Linked DNA regions of Lonchura striata. The protein of the gene in region 1 purifies or fractionates together with the protein of each later gene. This does not show direct contact. Links are inferred from orthologs where the notes say so. Each region holds a gene or a part of one and is shown on either strand. Other genes may lie near its edges. The genes, in order: OCRL and PLEKHJ1.

What was found.
Region 2: the proteins of OCRL (region 1) and PLEKHJ1 purify together in Homo sapiens (co-immunoprecipitation; 3 studies listed by BioGRID and IntAct, counting the BioPlex papers as one, with this or other methods). This does not show direct contact. The link is inferred for Lonchura striata from reciprocal best matches to the Homo sapiens genes OCRL and PLEKHJ1.

The regions. Positions count from the first base shown.
Region 1 is NC_134616.1:15,210,571-15,219,336, forward strand, and holds the start of OCRL (inositol polyphosphate 5-phosphatase OCRL), read left to right. Parts: upstream 1-3,747; 5' UTR 3,748-3,770; coding exon 3,771-3,803; intron 3,804-3,894; coding exon 3,895-3,974; intron 3,975-4,394; coding exon 4,395-4,474; intron 4,475-5,324; coding exon 5,325-5,363; intron 5,364-5,788; coding exon 5,789-5,899; intron 5,900-5,970; coding exon 5,971-6,054; intron 6,055-6,349; coding exon 6,350-6,470; intron 6,471-6,549; coding exon 6,550-6,711; intron 6,712-7,587; coding exon 7,588-7,689; intron 7,690-8,118; coding exon 8,119-8,233; intron 8,234-8,766. Other genes in the region: ERCC6L (DNA excision repair protein ERCC-6-like), read right to left, coding at 1-3,171, 3,330-3,385. UniProt on the Homo sapiens protein: Catalyzes the hydrolysis of the 5-position phosphate of phosphatidylinositol 4,5-bisphosphate (PtdIns(4,5)P2) and phosphatidylinositol-3,4,5-bisphosphate (PtdIns(3,4,5)P3), with the greatest catalytic activity towards PtdIns(4,5)P2.
Region 2 is NC_134630.1:2,945,185-2,953,950, reverse strand, and holds the start of PLEKHJ1 (pleckstrin homology domain-containing family J member 1), read left to right. Parts: upstream 1-4,422; 5' UTR 4,423-4,653; coding exon 4,654-4,747; intron 4,748-5,800; coding exon 5,801-5,868; intron 5,869-6,840; coding exon 6,841-6,907; intron 6,908-8,586; coding exon 8,587-8,677; intron 8,678-8,766. Other genes in the region: SF3A2 (splicing factor 3A subunit 2), read right to left, coding at 362-408, 1,059-1,130, 2,359-2,484.

The DNA.
Region 1 (8,766 bases):
TGAATGCTATCCAAGGGAGAGGAGGGCACTTGTTCAGGCTGCTCTTCACTCTCACTGTCTGAAGAAATTCTGTTTAAGCGTTTCTTCCTACTAGAAATAAAGAGACCACTGCTTTCCTCCAATGATTTACTCTCTTGCAGGGAGGCATTTGGCTCTTCCTCAGCTGTGAGACAGGGTTTGCCATGGCTACTGGTCTCACTTGGCCAAGTTTTGTTTGGAGATTCTTTGTCTGGAGATTTACACAAGCTTTCTGCCTGGAGTTGTAAGCTCTCCTTCTCAGGGTGTTCCACTGATCCTCCTCTATTTGAGGCATCCTGCCATTCCTCTTCAGACTCTTCCAAAACCAGATTGAAGTCAACTTGATCCTGGAAAGAAGGAGCAGATGTAGCCTCTGAGCTGTCTTCTAGCACATGAGACTTGTAGAGCTCAGCATTGACTTCTGGTGTAGCATTTTTTAAACTCAGCACTGCAGAAGCCGGCTCAGGATCATTGTTCTGCTCTGTCCCCAGGGCACTGTGTGGGTCAAGTATCTGAACTGACAATTCTGCCTCACTTCTAGGATCAGCCATGCCAGACTGGGAGGAATTGTGACAATGCCAAGACAGGTCATTCCTTGTCTTGGCCGAGCTGTCTGAATGTACCTGCGAATGTTGTTTCTCTTGGAGGCTCTGACTCTCTTTCTCGAGTGCAGGGGATGATGGTATAATGTTAGATTCAGGATTTTGCTCAGATTCTTGTTCTGCTTGTTCTTGATCAGATTGTTCTGCTGTCTTGCTGGTATTGAGCACTTCTGTCTCCATACTGGACACACCTTGTGCCAGTTGCTCTTCATCCAAGTCACCAACAGTCAGAGTTGCCATTCTGGAGCTGACATCGAGCACCTGGGCTTCTTCGTCCTCTGTAAGATCAATAAATTTGTCTTTTTCTTGTGCATCAGCTACTGGTGGTGAAACAAAATTATTTTTGTCATTCAACCCTGGAGACAACTTCTTTGGCCTGGAAACTGATCCCGATGGTCTTTGCCACAACTCTTCACAAGTATTCCTGATCCCCTCCATCCTCTGATCTCTGAGCTGGGACTCCAGCTGGACCAGCTCATGGGCTTTCTGTACTCTCCGCTGGATGTACTGATGGGCTTCCTCGCTCTCCACCTGCTCCTCATGAGCCATCTCCCTTGTGTAGATCAGGTCGTGGTCAGAAATGCCAAACATTGCCAAGGAATGCAGGTAAGCAAGATGCTCATCCAGCTGCAGGTCAGACTTCCTTTGCATGGCGTGCAGGGACTGCAGCTGGATCTGAGTTGCAGATGTCCGAGTATCTTCCAATATGAAGAGCTCTCTTAGTTCCTGTTTGGAGAAATAACGGAACGGGTTCTTTTTGTCACCGGTGGTCTGTCTGATTAACGAGTCCTTGAATACCTGCCGCCTGTATATCTTCTCTTCCACGGTGCCGCAGGTGATCAGTCTGTAAATCACTACGTTCTCTTTTTGCCCAATTCTGTAAGCTCTGTCCACAGCCTGAGCATCAGTTGCTGGATTCCAGCTGGGATCAAAGATCACCACTCGGCTGGCCGCTGTCAAGGTTATGCCAACGCCCCCAACCTGTGTGGTGAGCAGGAAGACAGAGTAGGTGGTGTTGCTCTGGAAGGCGTTGATGCGCCTCTCCCGCTCCGTCAGGTGGGTCACCGTGCCGTCGATGCGCAGGATCTGGAACTGTCGGCGAGACAGGACGAACTCTATGATATCCAGCATCTTCCTCGACTGTGAGAACACCAGGGTTCGGTGTCCCTCTTCTCTCAGCCGCTCCAGCAGTCCCACAAGGAACTGCATCTTCCCAGACTCCTCGATCACAGTCTCATCAGAGAGATGATCTATTTTGTTCTTGCCTGCAAACATAACTGCTTCCATCCTGTAATCCTGCTCGGAGTCCTCCTCTTCCTCTTCCAAGCCCAGCTGGGTACAGGCTCTTGGAGACAGAAGCCTGGGGTGGTCACAGAGTTTCTTCAGGATTGTCAGCTCAGCCAAAGGTGATCGGTTCATCATCAGTACTTCCTTCACATGATCGAGGCAGAGAAAGTTCCTGTAGATTTCTTCCTGCACTGGTGCCAGGTACACCCACACGACAAAGTCATTTTTCCTAGTGAGAGATGGCATGACAGGAGCCTTGTTCTCACTTGGATCCTCAGAAAGAGTAGGATCAGCTTTATTGGTATGATAGTTTTTGATGTCTTCCTTGGTCCTTCTGAGGAAATAAGGCTTTATAATTGACATGAGATTCTCTGATATCTTTAGCCCCAGTGCTTTCTCACCTGGAGTCGCATCCTTCTCCCTCGCCCTGGTAATGGGATTCTCATACTCCATTTTAAAAGTTTTGGCAGTTCCCAGGAGGGAGCCTTGACAGGCAAAGTCAAACAAGGACCACAGTTCCCGGAGGTTGTTCTGCACAGGGGTGCCTGTAAGCAGGATGCGGTAGTGGGCCGGGATTGCATACACACACTTGGTTGTCTTGTTTGACGGGCACTTGATCTTATGTGCTTCATCAAGGATAATGTAGTCCCAGACAAACTCCTGCTCATGGCGGCTGGCCAGCTGCTTCCAATTGTTAATGAGCATCTGGTAGCTCGTGATGATGATGCCGTTCTTCCTCTGGACCCTTTCCAAGTTCCTGGTGCGCTCTGTCTTGCTGGTGCCATGGAACTCCTTGACGCGAAGGCCGGGGGTCCAGCGAGCAAACTCAGCCAGCCAGCTGCTGACCAGGGTGGTGGGCATGATGAGTAGGACGTGCTGGATGAGCTCGGCATCGAACATACCCGACAGGAAGGCAATCACCTGGATGGTCTTGCCCAGGCCCATGTCATCTGCCAGGATGCCGCCAGGCTTGCGCTCCCGGTGCAGGCGGTACAGGAAGGCAACACCTTCCCGCTGGTGCTGGAACAGCTTCCTGTGCATCTCCCCGTAGATCAGCAGGCCGCTGCCGCACACGTCCACGAAACCCTCATCATCCTCCTCCTCCTCCTGCTGCTGCTGCTCGGCCGCCGCCAGTGCCTCCTGCACCCGCCGCATGCGGTTCTGCAGCTTCTCGCTGGGGCGGATGGCAGCCGCCAGCCGGAACAGCCGCAGCGCCTCTTCAAGGTCCCCGTCGGCCGCCGCCGCCTTCGCGCTGGCCACGAGCCTGTGGGAGTCACCGTGAGCACCGGGTGGCCAGGCCCGGGCTGCACCCAGGAGTGCCGGCCCGGCCCGGCCCGCCAACGCCAACCCCGAACCCAACCCCAGCCCCAGCCCCAGCCCCAGCCCGCCCGCCCGCGGCCGCTCAGCCCCGTCGCCGCTCACCCCCGGTACCGCTCCTCTTCTGCCGCCGCCGCCTCTCGCGGCCCGGGAGCGGCCATGGCGCCAGCGCTGCCGCCCTGCGCTTCAAACCCGGCCCTTCCCGGCCTGCCCCGCGCCACATGTAAATCACCACCGCCCGCAGCCAATCAACGCCGGGGGCGGGCAAAGGGGCGGGGCCGAGCGCTGCCCGCGCCTCCTCGCGGGTCGGGGCAAACACCGGGACGAGCTCCGGTCCCGGCCGGTCCCTTTCCCGCCGCGCGGTGGGAAGCGAGGTGTGGGACATCCAGGGGGAGCCCGGCAGATCCACAAGTCCGCCCGCCCCCGGCGCACTCCCGGTCACGGGCGCGGGCGGCGGGACCTCCCGCCAGCAGGGGGCGCGGCGGCGGGCGGCGCGGCGCTCCGCGGCCGTGCGCAGCGCGGAGCCGGCGGAGGGCGAGCGCTGCCATGGAGGCGCGCGCCGCGGGCCGCGGCCTGCTCGTATCCACCGCGCGCGGCGGGCCGGGCGGGCGGGGGGCCGCGGTGGGGCGGGGCAGGCCGGTGACCGGAGGTTTTCTTAACTGCGGCCAAGAGCGTTGCTGGTGCGGAGGTGCGGGCCGGGCGGCGGGAGCCGTGCGTGCTCGGCCTGGAGCGGCGGGCCGGCCGCTACGGGTGAGTGAGTGCGAGCGCGGCGGGGCCCGGCTCGCCTCGCTCGGTGCCGCCGCGGCGGGGCTCGGTTCCGCGCCCAGCTGCCACAGCCGTGACTCTCGGCATCCCTGCGTGCTCCCCCGGCCGGTCCCCTCACCCCGCGGGACCGGCGCTCCGGAGGTGCCTTCCCGGCTCCCCGATGCTCCCCCGGTAACCAGAGCCGCTGCCAGCCCGGTGTTGGACCTGCCCCGTGGCAGCGAGAGTTCAGCAGCTCTTCCTTCTCCCCCGGGGTATCCGCGTCCTGCACGATCTCACCTTCGTTGCCTTTTTCAACTCCTGCCCCAGAAGCTTAGCGATAAAAATCAAACGTTGTGTCTCTGTACACACAGCTCCTGTTTGTGTGCGTTCCTGCCGGGTTTTTACAAGCCTTCCTTCTGTCTGCAGGGTGGTTATTCGCTCCCAGGAGAAAGAAAACTCTGATCCGGATTATATTCCCATCAACAGCCGTTTTAAGTGTGTGCAAGGTACTGACTGCTGGGGGGAAGGTCGAGAATCCCCTGCTGTTGATCCACAAACCTTAAATTTAATGGTGTTTCCTGACCTGTCTCCCGAGCCACAGCGGATTGAATCCTTTCTCTGTGAAGCAGCAAGTCACATTTTATGGCATCCCCTTGTTCCTCATTCAAGCAGGTTGTCATTCCATGTCAGCATGAACTTGTGAGGAACTTGGCTGGCTCCAGTGCGTGGTGTGCTTGGCATCACACAGAGCCAACACATGCAGCATCTGGTTTCAGGGTCTGGAATTTGCTGTCTGCTGGTGTCGGTCTCTCAGACTTCTCTGCTCTGCCGAGAGTTGGGAGCTGTTGCTTTATCCTGCATGTTTACATCTAAACTTCCTAAGGTCTACCAAGCTCTCAGCATCCCACGTGCTGAATGAGGAAGGGCTTTAGGCCTTGTTTTGGAAGAACTTAAATAGCAGCAAGTGGTCCTGGGGCAAATCTTTGTAAGGAGTAAAAGTCCTTTTTCCTGAATTTACTCATTCCCTTGTGTGCAGTTCAGGATGTTCTGCCCCTGATTTTGCTCTGTAGAGAAGCTCTGAAGTTCCTTGTCAAGTTGGTCTTTCCTGAAGTAGCTGCACTGATGGGGAAAAACCAGCCAGATGTATGAGAACTGTGTGGTGGGAATCTCCCTGCTGGGAGGTGACTGTCCAGGTTCTCTCTGCCAGAACCGTTAGGAATGTACAGATGTAAATTAGAGCTCTTTGTTCCTGTTAGGACTCTCTCATGGCTGGCAGCAGGCAGTGTAATTATATGAGTCTTCAATTACTGCAGCATCCAGCGTCAGCTCTACTGATCATGTTTTTCTCTTTTCTAGAGGCAGAAGAAACTCTGCTGATTGATATAGCTACAAACAGTAAGTTTCATAAGGGTAGTGGTGCAGCTAAAGGTCCTGTCATGGAACAGCCACTGGTGCTTGTTTTGCCTTCCAGTCTTCCCCCAGGCTCTGTGTTTGTCCTCTGCTCAAACAGGGATTGTTTTCCCTCTGACATTGTCATCTGGCTCTGTGAGACACTGGCTTGTCATGACAGACAAGGTTTGAAATGCAAATGGTCAAAATGTTTGCAGTTATTTTCCTGCTTTTAGAGCTCTTGTTTTCAAAATTGCAGTAGGGAGGATTCCTAAAGCCAGGATAATGTGCTGGGGATATCCCAAGCAGTGTGGGGGGACCTCAGAAGTGCAGGGAGGTGCAGGTTTCCAAAACAAACAACACCTGGAAGCTGGGTGGGAAGCCTGGGGGCTCTGAGGCAGCCTGGGCTGACTCAGTGAGTGTGTTTGAAGCAGGCTGCAAGGTCCGGATCCAGGGTGACGAGGCGCCGGAGCGGCTCTTTGAGATCCCTGACGAGGAGCGCTGCTTGGGATTCCTGTCAGAAGTGCAGAGCATACAGGAAGGTGAGCAGAGTCTCCCCTGTGCATGTGAAATCCTCTGCCAGCAGTGACTGACAGGGATGGATTTTTTCCAGCCCACCTGAAAGCATCTCTTCCTGAACCTAAGGACTCAGCCATTTGGCATCAGGTGGAGAAGAGCCTTACAGGTCTATCTCCAGGTACAGTTGACTTTGCTCCGGGGCCTGTGCAGTTCTGGGGTGCCAAGGGTGGGATCTGGGTCTGGCCATGCTTCCTTGTCTGTTAATTCCTTCCTGAGTGCTATTTTCACCCTTGGTTTGTGTATGTTGAGCTTCCTGCCTTGCCTTGTGGTTAGTGCCCCTTTCTCCCATTTCCAGGGTCACACAGTTGATGTATTCCTACTCTCGTTTGGTTTTTTGGTTACATTTTTTCCTTCTTGATCTGAGCTGTTTCAGATTGTTTCTCAGGGTGTTTTTCTTGGATTTTTCATTACAGGAGCTCTGGGGTTTGAGGATGACTTCAACACTCTGAGCCTAGAAGAGAAAAGAAACATGCAAAACCACCAGACGGGATCTCGACGGGAACCCCCACCTCCTCCTGTCCCTCAGAATAAGCAGTAAGGGATCTGTTCCCTTTTTTACTTTTCTTCCTAGACAGCAGAACTAGTTCTAGTGCTGCTCTTGCTTCCTTCCTAGATTTCACCGGGAGAGAGAAGGCACATCCAGAGACCAGCCCAAGGTGACCAACACGATGCGCAAGATCTTTTTGCCCAGCACACAGTCGGGGCAGAGAGAGGGGCTCATCAAACATGTGCTGGCCAAGAGGGAGAAGGCCTACATCAACCTGCACAACTTCAGGTGAGACCTGGGAGGGAAGGACAGAGCTGCAGGATCTCTCCTGTGAGCTTGGATCTCACCCAGGATTGGACCCTGGTAGCTGGTGAGGGGTTGCAGCTCAAGTGGCCAGTGAGGATGGTACAGCCCAAAAGTCTCATGTCCATGGGACAGCTGCTCCCTTTGTCTTCTCTCTGTGTGTGTCAGATATTGTGAGCCTTGGTAGGGCTGGGGCAGGTGGGCAGAAAGAGTGAAGACTGAGGTCCCACCATAGTGTCATGGTGTTGCCCCTCGTGACATGATGTTCAAAGAGCCAGATGTTTGCTGGTGGAATGCCTTACTCAGGGGACTGTCACTGGGAGTGAGCCAAGCCTGGGAGAATTTTGAAGGAGTGACTGAGGGATCAGGGAAGCCTCAGCCTGGAGAAGAGGAGGCTCAGGGGGACCTTCTGGCTCTCCCCAGCTCCCTGACAGGAGGGGGCAGCCGGGGGGTTGGGCTCTGCTCCCAGGGAGCAAGGGAGAGTACAAAAGAAAATGGCCTCAAACTGCTGCAGGAAAGGTTCAGGTTGGACACCAGGAGGAATTTCTTCATGGAAGGGGTGGTCAGGCATTGGAAGGGGTTGCACAGGGAAGAGTCCCCATCTCTGGAGGTGCCTAAGGAATGCCTGCATGTGGCACTCCGTGCTCTGGGCTGGGTGACAAGGTGGGGATTGGGCACAGGTTGGACTCAGTGATCCTGGAGGTCTTTTCCGACCTCAGTGATTCTGTGACTTTCAGTTCCCCCATGGCAGTCATTGCCCCCTGTAGGGACAGTTCACAGTGTGTGCTTCCAGCCAGAACACTGTTGTGCTGCTGTGATTTTCATGGTGTTTCTAACAGCTCAGCTGCTTTTGTGTTGTAGGTTCTTTGTGGGAACCTGGAATGTGAATGGGCAGTCTCCTGACAGCTACTTGACCCCATGGCTGGCGTATGACATGGAGCCCCCGGATTTCTACTGCATCGGGTGAGCAGCTGCAGGGGCTCCAGGAGGACTGGCTTGGGTTTAGGTTCCTGTTGTGCTCTCAGAGGCTGCACAGAGCTGAGCTGTGGCACACAGGGGCCGTCTGAGGGCAAAAAGCTATTGGATGAGGCAGAGGATCAGGTTGTACAAAGCTAGCATGACATAATAGATTTTCCTGAAGAGCTGGAAATACAGAGTTTATCTGCAGAGCTCACTCGTTGTCCTCTGTCTAAAGTGGTGTTTCTCAGGGAAAGGGCTGCTGGGGGGTTTGGGGTAGGATCTCAAAGGCACTATGGGGGAATTCTACTGCTTTATTTAGCAAGTGGCCATAAGGAGCTGTTCCTCCAAGGGCTGTTGCTGGAGGTTTCACATTTCTGTAGGAAGAGGGGGATGTGCAGGAAGGCTGGAGGTGCTAAGCTCTTGGGTTTCCAGGTTCCAGGAGCTGGACCTCAGCACGGAGGCTTTTTTCTACTTGGATTCTACAAAGGAGCAGGAGTGGCTGTCTGCTGTGGAGAGGTCCCTGCACCCTAAGGCCAAATACAAGAAAGTGAGTTCTGCTCAGTGGTATGGGGGCTTGTCATGGAGCTGGCATGATGGGAAGGAAAAAGGAAAAGGGCTGCCCTTTTCCTCCCTATTCAAGGAGCAAGGCTTGGAGAAACCAAGGGGGGTACTGGGCATGTGCATGCGTGGGCATGTGTCAAGTTCAATCTGGAGAGTCTGTTTCTGCACCACAGTTGCAGGAAATACTGTGCTTTGAAGTAGACATTTATAAAGGTGGGGACTACAATACCTTTATCAAATAGGAGGTGAGTGTAAGGGAAGCAGCAGGTTCAAATTCTCTACCTATATTACTTTCACATCTTGTACTATAGAAGCCAAGTGTGTCCTGAGCTGGTAAATTAAATGAATAGCTTTTCCCCAAAGGAATGAGATGATTTATGAAGTGAAGTCTTCCAGATGCTGCTGCCTTGAGTCAGAATTGCTTCAGCTGTGGCAGCAGGACTTTGTTCTGGCTGGTTTCGAGCAAGACATTGGTTTTATCTCTGCTGTGACAAACCTTTCTGCTGCAGGGACAAGTTC
Region 2 (8,766 bases), on another chromosome or scaffold:
CTGGCCCTGAACAGAGACTCCAGTAATCCCACCTGAGCATCCCTGAGAGGACTGTCCAAATGCTCCTGGAGCTCTGGCAGACAGAGATCCTCCTAACTAGACTCACACAATTTGCTTTTAAAACTCTCTCTCTCTCTTCATTCAGCAATTTCACAACTGGATTTGAACTTTAGCTTAAAATAGAGATCTTCAGCACCATTTTCCAAGCAGATCCAGGCTGTGCCTCCTGGCTGCATGAGGAACCACAGTAAAATAACAATCAGGCAGAGTGCAATGGAGTTAAAGGACTACAGACACCCAACATCATAATATTAAAGTGCTTCCGTAATGGAGAACAAAGTTATGGTAGAGGATAACTTACAAATTGGTCTGATGCTTCTTCCCCTGGGTATGTGCCAAGTAACTCCCCTGAAATAAAAACCAAGGTAGAAGTTAAATGAATCTGTGACTGAAACATTCCTGTCACAGGAAGATTGCATCACTCCCTGACAAGGGTGTTTTAATCCTCAGCACAGAGGAATCTCACTCCAAAAGTGCAGATTGCTCTCAGCTGCTGAGCTGTCATCATGTCTTGGGTTATAAATGTGTATTTTGTTTCTTATATAAGTGGGGCAGTTATTTTTTGTTATTGGGTAGCTTACTTTATCTCTTCTACAACTAATCTTCCCTCTGGGGAGATATCTCTTGTTAATGGGCCATGGAATCTCACTACATAACTGATAAAATTACATCATCTCATTGTGAGATGTTCTGCTCAGGGGGAGGAGCTAAGTATTCTTACTTAGATATAATCTGAGATTTAGAACACCAGGAGCAGTCCTTCTCTACCAGATTCTAAGAAGAACAGCTTTCTTTTTTACTAGATTCTCAGAAGAAGACTAAGCTCATCTACACTACTCCTGAACCTTCAGAAGAAAATCACTCTTCAACAAGATCTTGGTGCACACTGTCAGGTTTAACCACCCCTCAGGTCTCAGCAGTCACTGCCCACGTGCTGAAGCTCCTGTTATTCCCAAATTGCTGCTGCTAGGATCAGGACAGGCAGGTGCTCCCCTCACCTCATTGTTGTGGAGCGTCAGGCAAAGCTTGCACTCGTAGGAGCCCAAATGATTTTTCATAAAATAGGGGTCCTGGGAAAAGAATGACAGACGAGTTATGAGCAAAATCCATTGGCAAAATAAGAGAATAACCAAAATACTGCAGAGTTCTGCACTGGAAGAAAGGTTCTTCCCCCTGAGGGTGCTGGCACTGCCCAGGCTCCCCAGGGAATGGTCCCGGCCCCGAGGCTGCCAGAGCTGCAGGAGCGTTTGGACAGCGCTCTCAGGGCTGCTCAGGGTGGGGCTGTTGGGGGGTCTGTGCAGGGACAGAAGCTGGACTGATGATCCCTGAGGGTCCCTCCCAGCTCAGGATACCCTAGGATCCTGTAGCTGAGTTCAGATTTTAAATTAACAGCACAAGAGAGGTTTAGGAGGAGGAAACAAGAGAGAACCAACAGCAGCTATGTGTGCAGTGGTGACAGAATTCCCAACTGTAGCAGGAAACACCACAACCCAAACCAGCCCTGGGGAGACTGGAAATAGATGGATACACAAGAGCTGGCACCTCCTTGTCACTCTGTCCTAAATATTCCTTATTCAACCCCCACATGCCCAGAAACAGATGTATTTAAACCCAATCCACACCTCAGCCTGGAAACAAGGAGGCTCTGGGGTGACCATAAAGCCTAAAGGGGCTCCAAGAGAACTGGAGGAATGTCGCCCTGATTCTTAAGATTTTCTAAAGCCTTCTGAGTTTCCATTCTGTTAGAGAACTTTCTCACACAACTTTCTGTAAACAACTTATTGTTCTGCATTCCTTCATAGAGGTGGAGAAACTTGATGTACTAGTAGTTTGTCCAATGTCATTGGAGAGGTGGCACTTGCACCCTCCAATCCACTGTTACCTTTAAAAAAGTATAAATGCTGGAGTCAGAAAATAAACTCTTTCTTTTTCACCTTTGCAATAGTAGCAGCTTGTGTCATGCTTTCATGTGTCCTATACCGACAGAGGAAAACTTTGGAAAAGGGCCTGGAAGGACAGGACAAAGGGAAATGGCTTCAAAGAGACCAAGAGTAGGTTTAGATGGGAGACTGGGGAAAAATTCTTGGCTGTGAGGGTGGGCAGCTGGCATGGATTTCCCAGAGCAGCTGTGGCTGCCCCTGGATCCCTGGAAGTGTCCAAGTCTAGGCTGGACAGGGCTTGGAGAAACCTGAGATGTCCCTGGATGAGCTTTAATGCTCCCTTCAACCCAAAGCACTGCAGGATGCCATGAATGTGACTGTGCCCGGTGTCCCCCGGGCTGCGGGGGCTCCCCTGCACCTTGTTGATGTCGATGGTCTCCAGGGCCAGCTGCCGCAGCCGCTCCCGCCGGTCCCGGTTGCTCTCGGAGGCCGAGGCCACGCCCCCGCTGCCCGTTTTACCCCCGGGCCGGTGCTGGAAATCCATGCTGGGGATTTCTGGGCTTCAGCTCCTCCTGGAGAAATGGAGTCTGCCAAGAGGAAGGAGTGTCAGGGACAACTGAGCCACAGGACTCTTCAGCCGCAGCAGCGAGGGTGGGGGTGACACCCAGGCATGCCCCAGGCACACAGCACGGGATGCAATCCCACATGGAGCACATCCGGCACCACCGACCTGGGAAAGCCGAGTACGGATCCAGAAAATCCCCCCGGAGCCCTTCCCATCACCTCAGCCACTCCAAGCCCAGCTGGGCCCCACCAGAGGAGCCTTCCCCCCTCACCTGAGGTACCAACAGCCCCAGAGCTCCTCCCTGACCACCACCAGGTCTATGCTCCCCCACCACCCCCAAAGCCCCAGGGCCACCCCCAACACCAAGGGAGGGTCAGAGCCCCCCAAGCCCCCCAACAAGGTCAGGGGTTCTGAGCAATGTCCCCAAGCCCCAGGTGAGGTCCTGGAGTCCCCCCTGCCCTCAGCAAGGTCAGAGCCCTGCCTAGACCTCCCCACAGGGAGCCCAAACACTGGAAAGACCTTTGAGGAACCCCAAATCCTTCCCCACAGAGCACCCAGTTCTCCAGTGTCTCGTCCCCAGTCCCTCTCCAGCCACATCCCCCTGTAGCTTCAGTCCTGATTCAGCCAGTCAAGGCCCACTGACTCCCACTCAGGTGCTCTTCCCCATCCTCCCCACACTCCCCTGGCCCTACCCCAGTTTCCCACTCGTGATTCTCCAGCTCCCCCAGCCCCACCACCCCAGTTCTCCTAGTCCCTCCATTTCCAGCACCCTCAGTTTCTCCAGCACCCCCAGTCCTCCCACCCAGGGCACCCAGTTTCCCCAGTACTTTTCCAGTAGCTCCATCCCAGTTCTGCATTCGGCAACCTCCAGGTGCCTCCGTTCCTGCCCCGCTGATCCTCCCAGTAACCCAAATCCTGCCCTGGTGCTACCCTGGTTTCCCACTCGTGATTCTCCAGTTCCCCCAGCCTCACCACCCAGACCACCCAGCACTCCCAGTCCCTCCTCACCCAGTTCTCTCAATTCTTCCTTACCCAGCTCTCCCAGTCCCTCCTTCCCAGCTCTCCAGTCCCTCCTCACTCAGCATGCCAAGTCTCTCCATACTCCAAACTCCCAGTCCTTCTTCACCCAGTTCTCTCAATTCCTCCTCACCAAGCTCTCCTAGTCTCTCCATACCCAGATCTCCCAGTCTCTTCTCCCCCAGTTCTCTGAATCCTCCTCACCCAGCACTCCCAGTCCCTCCTCACCCAGTTCTCTCAATTCCCCTTCACCCAGCATTCCACATCTCTCCATACCCAGCTCTCCCAGTCTCTCCATACCCAGCATTTCCAGTCCCTCTTTCCCAGCTTTCCAGTCCCTCCTCACCCAGCATTTCCAGTTCCTCCTTTCCCAGTTCTCCCAGTCTCTTCTCTCCCAGCTTTTGCAATCCCTCCTTTCCCAGCTCTCCAGTCCTTCCTCACCCAGTTCTCAATTCCTGCTTCCCAGCTCTCCCAGTCTCTCCATACCCAGCATTCCCAGTCCCTCTCTTCCAGCTCTCCCAGTCTCTCCTCACGCAGCACTCCCAGTTGCCCAGCCCCGACTCCCCAGTTCCCCCAGTCCTGCCCCGTTCCCCCTCAGTCCCCCTCTCCCCTCAGTTCCCCCTCTCCCCTCACGGCCCCTCTTCAGTCCCCCTCTCCCCTCATGGCCCCTCTCCCCTCAGCTCCCCTCTCCCCCCTCTCCCCTCAGGGTCTCTCCCCGCTCCGAACCTGCGCGCGGCCGCGCTCCCGCCCCGGCGCCTGCGCGCTCCCGCGGCTCCGCGGTGTTTCCGGCCCGCCGAGGCCGTTCCGGCTCCGAAGCCGTTCCGGGCCCGCCGAAGCCGTTCCGGGCCCTGGAGCCGTTCCGGCCCCGAAGCCGTTCCGGGCCCCGAAGCCGTTCCGGCCCCGAAGCCGTTCCGGGCCCTGGAGCCGTTCCGGGCCCGCCGAGGCCGTTCCGGGCTCCGAAGCCGTTCCGGGCTCTGAAGCCGTTCCGGGCCCCGAAGCCGTTCCGGCCCGCCGAGGCCGTTCCGGGCTCCGAAGCCGTTCCGGCCCCGGAGCCGTTCCGGGCGCTCTGAGGGCGCTTCCGGCGGCGCTGGGGCGGCCCGGGCGGGGCCGTGGCCGGGGCCGGGGCCCGCCATGCGCTACAACGAGCGGGAGCTGCTGTCCCTGGCCCGGCAGCCGGCCGAGAAAGCGGCCGAGATCCGCATGAGTGTCCCCAAGAAGGGCAGCGGTGAGCGGGATCCGCGCGGGGCGCAGCCGGGGCTGGGGTACCGGGGCGGGAGCGCGGGGGGATCGGCGCTGCCTGAGGGGCCCCGAGCGGGGAGGCAGGGCTGGGACAGCGGGAGCGGTGTGCGAGGGGAGCTGCGGCGGTGGGGCTGAGGATACTGGGGAAACTGGGGCGGCTCCGAGCCGGGACTGGGCGAACTGGGAGTGCTGGGGGAGGCAGGGGAAGGTGGGACAGGACCGGCGGTACCTGGGGGGCAGAGTCGGGACTGGGGATACTGGGAGGGACTGGGAAGGTGCCGTGGGTGGTGGGGCTGGGGGAACTGGAGAATCACGAGTGGGAAACTGGGGTAGGACCAGGGAAGGGCTGAGGGTACTTGAGGGGCCCCGACTGCAGAATCAGAACTGGAGCTGCTGGGGGAAGAGGCTGGAGAGGGTCTGGGGGAGCTGGGTGGGAGGATTGAGGGTACTGGAGAATCCAGGCTGGGAAACCAGGGCAGGACTGGGAGTGCTGGGAGGCAGGGCTGGGGACAGGCAGGCTGGGAGGGCTGGAGTGTGGCAGTGGGGAGCACGAGTGCTGGGCTCCAGTATGGGCGTGCAGGGAGGTTCTGGGGCTGGGCTGGGGCCAGGGAGATCCCCCATTTCCAGGGGATCTGGGGAAGAAGGTCTTCCCTGAAATCTCCTAGAAAATTCCCCTGCAAACAAGCAGTGTTGTGCTCACTCCCTTGTCCTGAGCCTTTCGTCCTCTGAGCACCTGCTGGACTTTGTCCCGTGGGGGTGACGCCCGTGCTGGCAGCTCCAGGCAGGGCTCCCAGGATCCGGAGCTTTTCCTGGAGTGCCTGGAGCCCCGTGGTGCTGCTGCTGTGAGCTCTGACTGCCCGGGAGCTGCTCAGGGGCTTTGTCACCCTGAGGCCACTCAGACACTGTCACCCTGAGGGAGCAGCCTCGGGGGGTGCCTTGGTGGGGTCAGCGCCACGCTGGGCCCTGGCAGGGTGGGCAGGGCTCCCCTGCTCCCCGTGCCCCTGCCTCAGCCCTGCCCTGCTCCCTTGTGCCCCTGCAGTGCTGAAGAAGCGCCTGGTGAAGCTCGTGGTGAACTTTCTCTTCTACTTCCGCACCGATGAGGCTGAGGTAGGGATTGGGCCTCTGCGTGGGGTTTGTTCCCCTCCTCCTTTCTTCTTTTTCTATGCCTGGATTGTGTGGGCTGGGAAAATGGTGCATGGCAGAGCTGGAGCAGGGTCCACCTTCCATCAGTTCAGCAGGGCTCCAGGAGAGCTGGAGAGGGACTGGGGACAAGGCCTGGAGGGACAGGACACAGGGAATGGCTCCCAGTGCCAGAGGGCAGGGCTGGATGGGAGATTGGGCAGGAATTGTTCCTGGCAGGGTGGGCAGGCCCTGGCACAGGGTGCCCACCCTGGATCCCTGGCAGTGCCCAAGGCCAGGCTGGACAGGGCTTGGAGCAGCCTGGGATGGTGGAAGGTGTCCCTGCCATGGCAGGAGTGGCACTGGATGGGCTTTGAGATCTCTTCCAACCCAAAGAGTTGTATGAAATGCAAGATAAATCAGGTCTGCAATCCCTTCCCTGCTGCCTGATTTGCTTCTGACATGTTGGTTCACTTGGACAAGGATTTCTTGTGGTTGCTTTTGTTCATGGCCAATGTCACCTGCTGTCCCCGTGTCCCTGAGTAGTACCAGGTGGTTTTTTGGTCATCCTCAGCTGCTGCAGCTCTGCTCACACTTGCAAGGCTCCAGGACAGCCCTTGCATAGCTCAGTGTTGGTTATTCTGGGTGTCACAGTAAATGTTTCATCTTTGATTTTAAAAGCAAATGTTTTTCTCTGGTATCACAGAGTGGTTAAGACCAGGCTGAAACTGAGCCAGTAGAGATGATTGACACCTAATTAACAAATGCAAAGTGTTGCAGGTGAGACTGGCATGAAAAGGTGATTAAAGGAACATGAAATATGGTGCAATCAGAATGAATTATTCAAAAGCAGCACCAGCTTGTGAAAGTTGCTTAAAAGGCTCCAGGGAAGTACCGTGGGTTGAGCCCTCGTGGTGTTGGGGCCCCTGTGGGTTAAACCTTCTCTCCATGTGTTTTCAGCCCATTGGAGCTCTGCTGCTGGAGCACTGCAAGATCACCAAAGAGGAGGAGAACGTCTTCTCCATCAGTGAGTGCTGCCTGTGCACCCCTTTGCCTTCCCCTGGTGGGAAAGGGAATGCTGAATGCTCAGTTCTGCTTTCCCCTGTTTCCCTGGTGCAGTGGGGTCAGCTCAGCCCTTCCCCTCCTCAGTGGGGTCACTGCCCCCAGCCCTTCTCCTCTCCCTCAGTGGGGTCAGGGCCCTTCAGGTGGGGGTCAGGCTCTGCTCCCAGGGAACAGAGGACAAGACAAGAAGAAATGTCCTCCAGTTGTGCCCAGGACAGGTTTAGATTGGATACTGGGGAAAATTTACTCACCAAAAAGGTTTGGAAGTACTGGCACGGACTGCCCAGGGCAGTGGTGGAGTCCCCATCCCTGGGAGTGTTCAGGAGATCTGTGGATGTGGCACCTGGGGACAGGGGTGAGTGGTGAACCTGGTGGTGCTGAGCTGATGGTTGGACTTGATGGTCTTAAAGGCCATTTCCAACTTTACCAATTCCTCAACCTTTCCCCTCCTCAGGTGCCAGCTGTTCCTCACTGTGCCTGTGGCCATCCCGAGGAAAGCTCAGGGATATTCCATGGCACAGCCTGAGGGACTTGCACAGCTGCACGTGCAGAGCAGCACTAAGAGCAGCCAGGCCCCACTGCCTGCCTGTGGAATCTCTGGCAGGGGGAGCTTGGTTATTGACAGATCTGCTCTGTGCTGCTGCATTTTATCCAAAAAACACCCTAGAGAGGCTCAGATAAAGCTGCTCCAGCCCCATCCTCCCCTCTGTGCGTCCTTGTGCAGCGGCAGCTGGGCCAGCTCCCCTGGGAGCAGCCTTTCATCCCGCAGCTCTCCCCTCTGCCAGAGGTATGTGGCCACAATAACAGGATGTTTCTCCAAGGCCATCCCTGTATCTTTTGGCCTGGCTGCCAGGCACAGCTGTGGTTCTGCTCTGTGCTTCCAAAGGACCCACAAACTGCCTGAACACACTGAGCCTGGAGCACCATGTGCTGGATTTTGGGGCTTTAGGGATTTTGGGAGCTCTGGTGGAGGAGGATTCCTGAGCAGGGTTAAACCCAGCGGTACCTGGTGTTGGGATGTGTCCACAGCCCATCCCGAGGTGCTGGTGCAGCCTGACCCAGGTGCTTGGCAGCAGCAGCCCTGAGGGTCTGCTCAGCAGAGCTTTGGGGACAGGAACTGGTGGCATGTCCTGGCTCTGTCCTGGTCAAGAACTGGAGTGGCACCAGGACCTGCTCTCCATGGTGGGAGTACCATGTGAATACCACGTTCCCAAAAGCTTCCAGCAAAGGCAGCTCAGGGCCTTCTCCCAGTGCAGTTTAACTCCTCTGTTGGCTGCTCCCTGCAGGTATCCCAGTTCCTCTCTCAGGGCTGTTCCCACTTGGATTTAAATTCCTGGTGTCTTTGCAAGGGGCCTCAGGGAGTCAGTCCTGGATCTGGCCGTGTGGTCCAGTTCAATTCACCCTCAGTTTGGGAAGCTGCTCTTCCCAAGGTCTCTGGCTGCTGTAAGCTGGGAAATGCTGTGGGCAGCTGCCCCAGGCACCCAGAGCCACCCAGGCAATGGGAGAGGGGCTGGAGGTGGGGGCTGCAGACTCATTCCCACCTCATCTTCGTTAACAGAGCTGCTAATTGTGGCCTGGCAGAGTCTGGGGAGCACCAGCAGCTCTGCCAGGACCTGCCTGGAGCCTTTTCCTTGTCCCTGGCAGGTTTCATCGAGGAGCCAGAGAGGAAATACTGCTTTGAGTGTGCCACGGAGGAGCAGTGCCAGGAGTGGGTTGAGGCACTCAAGAGAGCCAGGTGGGCTGAGCCCTCGGAGCCAGGGCAGTGCTGGGGGCTCTGGGCTGTGTTCTGGGATCAGGAACTGGGAGGGCAGTGCTTGTCTCCTC